2 linked regions of the Canis lupus familiaris genome follow. Each later gene encodes a partner of the first gene's protein in a complex. Links are inferred from orthologs where the notes say so. Each region holds a gene or a part of one and is shown on either strand. Other genes may lie near its edges. The genes, in order: BDP1 and BRF2.

Region 1 (4,405 bases):
CGTACAAAGCCCTGTGGTCCTGTCGGTGGTTCCAGGATTCCTGAGACATCTTCAGTAGGGGGTTCCTTTGTCTAGTTGTTGAACTTCTTTAAAAGCATCTGAAGTCCTGTTCACTCCCTCAGGGTACCGGAGGGAGCCCACAGAATCCAGAGACCTCTATTTTCTTTCCAGTCTTAGAGGAATCTCTTCTCTCTCCTATGCTTTCATCCTTGTTATTTAAACTTTGAAAAGCCCTTGTCTTTCTCCTGTCTTGATGACATAGCAAGGATTAATTAATAAAGGATTAGATTCCTTTGACATTTTGTTATTAACAGGATATTCTTGTAAAATCTTGTCCTTCAAAAAAAAAAACAAAACAAAAAAAAAAAACAAAAAAAAAACTTGTCTTTCCAAGAAAGAAGTCAGACCTGTCTGTTGCAATTGCAATGAGTCAGGGGATTTATATAGCCGGCAAGAACTGGCCCATACTGTGTAAAACCGATGTCATCTATGGCCATTTTTCCTCTCCTTATAGAAACCTTCCCTAACCATCCTACTAAAGCAAGCCAGCCTTCCCTTAATCTCTGTGATACTATCCTTTACGTTTCTTTTATAGCATTTAATAAATTCTTAAGTTATCTTGTTCTTTTGTTGTACTCTTTTTCCCTCCCCAACCCAGAACGCCTTGCTTATGGCTCCACTGCCATCTCCCGAAACAGATTAGGGAATACTTATGTTAATTTACTACATAACTATATACTTTTAGCTATAATAATTTCTGAACAGGTACATTAAAAAGTAAACAAAGGTACAAAGTGAATGGTCTTCCTCCCATGACATGTTCCTCTTGGAGGAGGTCACTTACCAATTCCTTCACACCTGAATTTGTCATCTATGTTCTACTCACTTTAGAATATCTTTTTTTTCCTTTTTTTTTACGATTTTATTTATTTATTCATGAGAGAGAGAGGCAGAGACACAGGCAGAGGGAGGAGCAGGCTCCATGCAGGGGGCCCCATGAAAGACACCCCCCCCCCTCCAGGATCAGGCCCTGGGCTCAAGGCAGGTGCCCAACCGCTGAGCCCCCCAGGCGTCCCTACTCACTTTGGAGTTTCTAAGTTCTGGGGATGTGCTGGTGAACAGGCGCTACTCTGCAAGACCTTATTTTTGTAAAGTAAAAAAAAAAATTTTAAGTACTCTAACACCTCCCCGCCCCCCCCCCCCCCCAGGCGTGGGGCCTGAACTCACGACCCCCGGATCAAGAGTCCCACGCTCCTCTGGCTGAGCAGGCGGGCGCCGCCTGATTGCACCGGTCTCCTCACGGTTTGCGCCCAGCGGCTTGCAAGACTCCCTCTCTGCGCCCCCGCCAGTAACTCGCAGGGATTCCTGCGGCGGGGGTGGGACGGAGGAACGCTTCGCCGCGCAGTCCCATTTCCGGTTTGCTGGGGCCCCTGTAGCTTGACAGTTACCATGGCTCCGGGAGCCGTGCGTCTGACGTCCTTCCGCGGCGCTGGCTGATGGCGTCATCAGTTCCGGCGCCCCCCCGAGGGCGGGGAAGCGAGGTACGGCGGAGACTTAGCTCTCAGTGTGGCAGGGTCATGAAGAAGAGGCGGCGGCGGGAGGAAGGCGGCGGCGGCGGGGGTGCGAAGCTGCGGTAGCTGCCCGCGGGGCTGGTGGCGTGGCCGCGTGGAGAGGGCGTAGCTCTTAATCCCTTCCCCGGGCAGCGGCCGGGGCTCGGGGCTGAGAGCGGCCGCGGGGCCGCCTCCCCGGGCCCCCTGGCTCCGCCATGTTCCGCAGGGCACGCCTTAGCGTGAAGCCGAATGTCAGGCCTGCCGCAGGCGCCCGGGCTTCCACCGCCCCCACCGCGCACCGCAGGCCGGAGGCGCCCGGGCCCCAGGCCCCGGCGGCGGCCCCTTCCCCGAAGCCCGCGGAGTCCACGGATGTGCCGGCGGCCGCCTGCGGGGGGAGCGAGCCCCGGGCGGAGGCCCCCCGGAGCAGGTAAGCGCGCGCGGAGGGGCGCACCCCGGCGGGCCCGACCCGCGAGAGCCGACCGCAGGCTGCGCGGTGGAGGACTCCGCCGCCGGCACCCGCGCGCGGGAGGCCCTGGGAGCCCGCCGCGAGCTGCAGTGTGTGGCTCCGTCCGCAAGGCGTGGGCTGTGTGGTCGGGAGCGGCCCGCGTCCTCCGCAGCGGTGGGAGCTCCGGAGGGGACGACTTGGAAGCCCAAGGTGCCCACACGTGCTGTCGTTCATGGCACGGCTCGGGCGGCCTTCCCGTCGTTTCTCTCCCGCTGGAGTCCTCGGCGAGGAGCTGTAGTTCCTACAAATTTGAAAACACTCATTTCTCCCTAAAAGACCAGTGTGACTTCGGCTCTGCTGATTTGTGGCCGTGGAAGGGAGATGTTCCTTGCCTTTTTTTTTTTTTTTTTAAGATGTTATTTATTTTTTAGTGAGAGACAGAGAGGCAGAGGGAGAAGCAGGCTCTCTGCGGGGAGCCCGATGTGGGACTCCATCCCGGGATCCCGGGGTCACGCCCTGGGCCGAAGGCAGGTGCTCAACCGCTGGGCCACCCGGGTGTCCCAGGATATGGATTTTCACTTTTTTTAAAAAAAGATTTTATTTATTTATTCATGAGAGAGACAGAGAGAGAGAGGCAGAGACACAGAGAGAGAGGCAGAGACCCAGGCAGAGGGAGAAGCAGGCTCCATGCAGGGAGCCCGACGTGGGACTCGATCCCGGGACCTCGGGGTCACGCCCTGGGCTGAAGGCAGGTGCTCAACCAATGAGCCACCCGGGTGTCCCAGGATACGGATTTTCACTTTTTTTTTTTTTTTTTAAGATTTTATTTATTTATTCATGAGACACACAGAGAGAGAGGCAGAGACCCAGGCAGAGGGAGAAGCAGGCGCCATGCGGGGAGCCTGACACGGGACTTAGTCCTGGGTCTCCAGCATCAGGCCCTGGACTCAAGACAGTGCTAAACCGCTGAGCCACCCGGGCTGCCTCTTGTTCCTTGCTTTGGTTTGAGGGCCTGCCCCTTTAGAGTGGCCTTTCCGAAGGGAAAAAACATGTGCCAGGACCACATTTGGATTCAGGGTGTTTTTGTTTTTTCTTTATTTAACCGTTTACTAGACGTGGCCAGGCAGGATTTATTTACCTGTTAAAATGGAGATAACATTACCTGCTTTGGAGAGTTGTCGTGGAGTTTTAGGAAAAACCTGACAAGCTGTCTTGTGTAGGACCTTGCAGAATAGTTGTGTACAAAAAATTCATTGTTTAAAGTAAATGTGATGGTAGTGATTAACAAAGTAATTAAAGTTAAGACATGTTGGGCTATTAATAGCCTCTCTTTCTATAATATATACGTGAGGAGAACAATAAAACCTGACCCTATTAAATGACAATGAGATGGTGTAAATTCTCTGTATGCTCTGACAGGAAGGTGAAGATTTTATTCCTTTTTTTTTGTCCAATCTTCCTCTGTTCGCCTAAACTGGTGCTGGGTACGGGGTGTTATTTTGCTAGCTTAGTGATGCTTTAGAGATTTCCAGGTTTCTTACATGAATATTTCTTTCAAACTTCTAAAAAAGGAAATACAGGTATTAGTCATTGTTAATAAAGTTGGCAGAGATCCTGTTAATTACACATTAGTGTGTGATGATTGTAATTTAATGAATTACTGAGGTTCTGTATTCGAGACATTTGAGGTTGAGGATATTTGGTTTTTGACAGTGGGCATTTATGGAGTACTTTAGATTTTTTTTGTTGTTTAGTATGGTGTTTTGTGTGTGTGTGTGTGTGTGTGTGTGTGTGTGTGTGTGTTTGCAGTTATAAATGTAAGTGGTAAAAACAAGAATGTAAGTTTTGTCCTTAAAGTTTCAATGAAAAAAAAAAGTTTCAATGAAATTGAGTGAAATGGCACATGATGCAAGGATCAGGTTATAAAGGCTGAGATAAGAATTTAAATTGGAGATTTCTTTGGGTGCCTGGCTGGTTTAGTAGGAAGAGTATGAGACTCTTGATCTTGGGATTTTAAGTTTGGGTCCTACATTGAGTGCAGAGATTACGGGGGGGCGCGGGGGGGCTTTCAAAAAGGAAATTTCTTGGAAAGGTTATTCTATAGTTTTAGGCATTTTCCATTTTTATATAAAACTAATTATAACATGAAAAATGTAGACTGCTTTTAATTCTTATCTAATTATCTCTGACTTAATTTGCTTTCAGGCCTTTTTGTTTTCTTTTTTTTTTTTTTTTTAAAAGATTTTATTTATTCATAGAGACAGAGAGAGAGAGAGAGAGAGACAGGCAGAGGGAGAAGCAGGCTCCACGCAGGGAGCCTGATGTGGGACTCGATCCCAGGTCTCCAGGATCAGGCCCTGGGCTGAAGGCGGCGCTAAACCGCTGAGCCACCAGGGCTGCCCCCAGGCCT
Region 2 (4,507 bases), on another chromosome or scaffold:
AGCTTTTTCAAAAGAACCTATAGCCCTGTCTAATCAGATTCTTTACTTTTTGAGGCTCAAATCTTCTGAGGAATCTCCGGGTACATGGTCATTGTGTCACCTGTCTCTTCAGACTAATAAGCTTCATTTTTTATTTTGAAAATTTTTCAGTTCTAGAATGCAAAATTTACTAGTCTTCTAAGGAAGGCAGCTGTGACCCGTATCTTACTCCTCAAGGGAGTATCCCAATTTATGAAGGTCTAACAAAACATACTTACTTCTCAATTAATTCTGCATAGAGCTGTCCAATCATTTTCTGTTCTCAGTGGAAAATGCTGATCTTACCCTTCCAACCCCAATCCCCCGTATAAGGTTGAAATTGAGCCCATGACAGTTCTTAAAAACTGCTAATGCCAGGAGCCTACCTGAAATTCTCCACTGTCAGCCCGAGAAACAGACTCTCCACACAGATTTCGTGCACCTGCTGTGCTGACTCCCATCTGCCTTCTTGGAGTTTTAAGGAACAGACTTCTGGTGGTCCTTGCCATTTAACTCAACTTTCTTGTTTTTCAGACACAGCTGATTCTAAAACGTTCAAGCATTAAAAAATCTTTATTCTTGGCATGTCCTGGTGGCTCAGTGGTTGAGCGTCTGCCTTCAGCTCTAGGTGTGATCCTGGGATCAAGTCCTACAGGGAGTCTGCTTCTCCCTCTGCCTATGTCTCTGCCTCTCTCTGTGTGTCTGTCATGAATAAATAAATAAAATCTTTATTTGCTTAGAAAATACACTCTTCTGGTGACTTAATGTGTATTCAAACATAACATACATAATTTAAAATTTGTAAGCTTGGTTTGCATCACTGATTCTTTGACTTATACTATACCAACAAAGGAGCTTGGGAGCCAGACTCTTGGAATATCTGAAAACTCAGCTTTTAAAAACATCCAAGTCGGCTTGGAACCTCCAGTTTGCCCAAAGCCTCAGCACCTCATGTTCTTTCCCTCCCAATTCCCTCAGACATTCCTTGCCTTCTCTCTGAGAGCATGAGTTTGCCACTCTGAACTTTCTATAGTTGAGAAAAATAGACTGCAAAGAGGGGAAACAACATGTCTGGCACAATGTCCTCTCACTACAATATTCTTCCTTTTACGCATACTTTGTACTACGGTCCAAATCAACATTTGCTACCAAAGAGAAATAGATAATTTACGATTCCCCTAGAGTTTCAGAAAGGAGAGTTGTTTGGGAACGGCAACAATTTCTTGTCTGTGATGTGTGTCCCTGTAGGTAGAATTTCACCCACTCAACCCCCAGTCTGCTCCACTTCAATCGGACCACAGATACCACGGGACGCCAAGACGCGGTCCAGGCCAGGAACCTCTTTTTATAGCTCACGTTTCTACCCGAGCCGTCAGGGAAACGGACCGGAAGTGTGCGAGGCCTGCCGCCCGAACTACCTACGTATCCCGCGGTTGCTCTGGAGCCGGAAGAGGAAGGTGCACCGCGTAGAAGGCTTCCCTCCTAGTTCCGGTTTCTCCACCGTTGCTCTTGCAGGCGTGGGCCCGGGTGCCCGGGGGCTTCTGCGGCTCTGGGTTGTGAGATGCCGGGTGGAGGCCGCTGCCCCGACTGCGGGTCCGCTGAGCTCGTGGACGACTCGCACTACTCGCAGAGCCAGCTGGTGTGCTCAGACTGTGGCTGCGTGGTCACCGAGGGAGTCCTTACGACCACCTTCAGCGACGAAGGCAACCTCCGAGGTACCCAGGGCTGTGGGTGTGCGGGCCGCGGCGGTGGAGGGGCTGTCGTCAGATTCCGGCCTGCGGGAGGGCGGAGGCTGCCGTTCGTCTGCTTTTCTAGCACTTGGTGCGACATCTGCCATGTGTTAGGTATTATATATATTATATATACATGTACCTAATATATATATGTATTAGGTGTAACATGTATAAATGCTAGGTATAGTAAGCGTTGACCAAATGAAACAGAAACAAAGTACACTCGGTTTACCTAGTCTGGATATGACGGAAGGGTTATGGGTCAATTCTTTACAAATACAGACAAGACTATTATCCCGAAATAGTTTTTAGCACTAATTGGCAAAAACACCCCCCTTTTTTTTCTTTGTTTTCCGAGTGCCTGACCAGTTCAGCCCTCAAAATCATGACTCAGGAAAATTGCCCGGGATTGGATACACAGGAGGGAGGGCTGAGAATTTGGAGCACCTGAGGCCACTTTAGTGCCATGGTGACCTTCTCAGTCTCTGTATTTCTACTGCTTGTGGGCATAGAAGGCCAGATGGACTCTTAACGTGCAAAGTGGGGCACCTTCTGTGAGATAAGGAATGGAGCCTAATGATAGGAATTCTCCCCAGTTTTGTGTGGCGGGTGGCCAGGAGTTTGGTGAATAAAGGTTGAACAAGCTGTTTGTTGTCCGTTGCCTTACAGAAGTAACCTATTCCCGAAGCACAGGGGAAAACGAACAAGTCAGTCGCAGCCAGCAACGAGGTGAGAATCAACCTTTTATGATACAGAAAATTCTCTGGAAGGTCCAGCCCATCCTCTTGCTTTTCCTGTTTTCACTATTACTGTGTACAGTAGAGCCTAAAAGAATGGCAGTTGGAAATAAAGAATGGAGGTGGTTCTGAGAGAGTCTATGGTTCTGATTCTGTATACAGGTTGGGTGTGTCAGGGCTGTGTGACATGTAGACTCCAACATCCCAGATCACACTCCCGCGTGGCTCTGAATCAGACTGACCTCCAAAGAATGGTGGGTTGAAATGTAACTTCTTTGCACAGATTTCTTTGTGCCTTTAGAATGACCTCACCAAATGTCACTCTTGTCATTTTAGAAAGTTACATTATTTGTGCATCTGGTGTTGGAGGCAAGTTTAGCAGAAATTGCTAGGAGCTGCACAGTAGTGCCTTTGACTTTGACACCCCCCCTCCCCCCAACTCTTGCTGTGGGCTTTCTTAGGTCTCCGCAGAGTGAGAGACCTCTGTCGAGTTCTGCAGCTGCCATCAACCTTTGAGGACACAGCAGTTGCCTACTACCAGCAAGCGTACCGGCACTCTGGCATCCGTGCTGCCAGGCTGCAAAAGAAGGAAGTGTTGGTTGGCTGCTGTGTCTTAATTACCTGCCGACAGCATAACTGGCCCCTCACCATGGGAACCATCTGCGCCCTGCTGTATGCAGATTTGGAAGTGTTTTCTGGCACCTACATGCAGATAGTGAAGCTCCTGGGGCTGGATGTGCCATCCCTGTGCTTGGCGGACCTGGTGAAGACTTACTGTAGCAGGTAAGCTGCCCGCTGGCAAACTCTGGGACAGGCTGGCTCCTTAGAACCCAGTCCTTTGAGCTTTGCTGTCTCTTTTTCACCAAAGCCCATTTAAAGGAATTTGGGAGAAAAATGTAGTCTCCCTCTCTTGTGCCCAGTACTAATAAGGTTAATCCCATTTTACATTTCTAGACTGCTGTCATTTCCAAATCCCTTTGCCCTCACTGCAACCTAATGACATAAGCAAAGTAGGTGTCAGCCTTGGCAGAGGGCCACTGAGTTGTGGCTCTTGTGTTGTGCATAGCCCGCTTGGCTGTGTGCACCAGCCCTGCCTCAGCAGGATCATCTGTGAATGGAGGCAACAGGATGTTAGTCATGGGGCTGGAAGCAGAAACTAATGTCTTTTTTTTAAGTAGCTGTGGTGTTTTCTTTCTTCTGAAAAATACAGTATAAAGCAAAGGTTATCAGTGTTAAGTGGCTTTGGGTTTGCATGGTTACTTCTTAGCTGGATGAATATGGGCCAGTTTTTTTTAAACTATATGTATTTTTAGTGGGGTGTAGAGGAGATGACAGGAGAACATTTGTAAAGCGCTCAGAATGATGGCCGGTGGAGGTGCTGACAAACGTGAGCTTTCTTGTGCATTTTCCTGCCCTTCGCTGCACAAGTAGAAGACTCAGCCTGTCTTCTCTCTGCACCTCTATGAACTCCGTACCTGGCCAGCGAACTTGAGCATTCCAAGAGGAGAGAAGAGCTTGCCCACTGCGAGTGTACTCCTTTTCCTTGCTTTGGAAGAGCAGCCCTCTCCCCTGTAGGCATGGAGACCAGACTCTCATTTTCTTTTTTCAGCTTCAAACTGTTCCAAGCTTCCCCGTCTGTTCCAGCCAAATATGTGGAGGACAAAGAGAAGATGCTGTCGCGAACATTGCAGTTGGTGGAGCTGGCAGACGAGACATGGTTGGTGACCGGGCGGCACCCCTTGCCTGTCATCACCGCTGCTACCTTCCTGGCTTGGCAGTCACTGCAGCCTTCGGAGCGTCTGACCTGTTCACTTGCCCGATTTTGTAAATTGGCAAATGTGGACCTGCCCTGCCCTGCTTCCTCCCGCCTGCAGGAGCTGCTGGCTGTGCTGCTGCGGATGGCCGAGCAGCTGGCCTGGCTGCAGGTTCTGAGGCTTGACAAACGGTCTGTGGTGAAGCACATTGGTGACCTTCTCCAGCACCGGCACACGTTGGTTCGCAAGGCCTTTCGAGACGGAA

What was found.
Region 2: BDP1 (region 1) and BRF2 share a complex: the UniProt entries of both Homo sapiens proteins name them as parts of the TFIIIB complex. The link is inferred for Canis lupus familiaris from reciprocal best matches to the Homo sapiens genes BDP1 and BRF2.

What each region holds. Positions count from the first base shown.
Region 1 is NC_049223.1:53,887,071-53,891,475, forward strand, and holds the start of BDP1 (transcription factor TFIIIB component B'' homolog), read left to right. Parts: upstream 1-1,551; 5' UTR 1,552-1,765; coding exon 1,766-1,977; intron 1,978-4,405. Other genes in the region: SERF1A (small EDRK-rich factor 1), read right to left, coding at 1-49. UniProt on the Homo sapiens protein: General activator of RNA polymerase III transcription. Requires for transcription from all three types of polymerase III promoters. Requires for transcription of genes with internal promoter elements and with promoter elements upstream of the initiation site.
Region 2 is NC_049237.1:28,279,736-28,284,242, forward strand, and holds the start of BRF2 (transcription factor IIIB 50 kDa subunit), read left to right. Parts: upstream 1-1,482; 5' UTR 1,483-1,579; coding exon 1,580-1,733; intron 1,734-2,420; coding exon 2,421-2,480; intron 2,481-2,949; coding exon 2,950-3,271; intron 3,272-4,097; coding exon 4,098-4,507. UniProt on the Homo sapiens protein: General activator of RNA polymerase III transcription. Factor exclusively required for RNA polymerase III transcription of genes with promoter elements upstream of the initiation sites.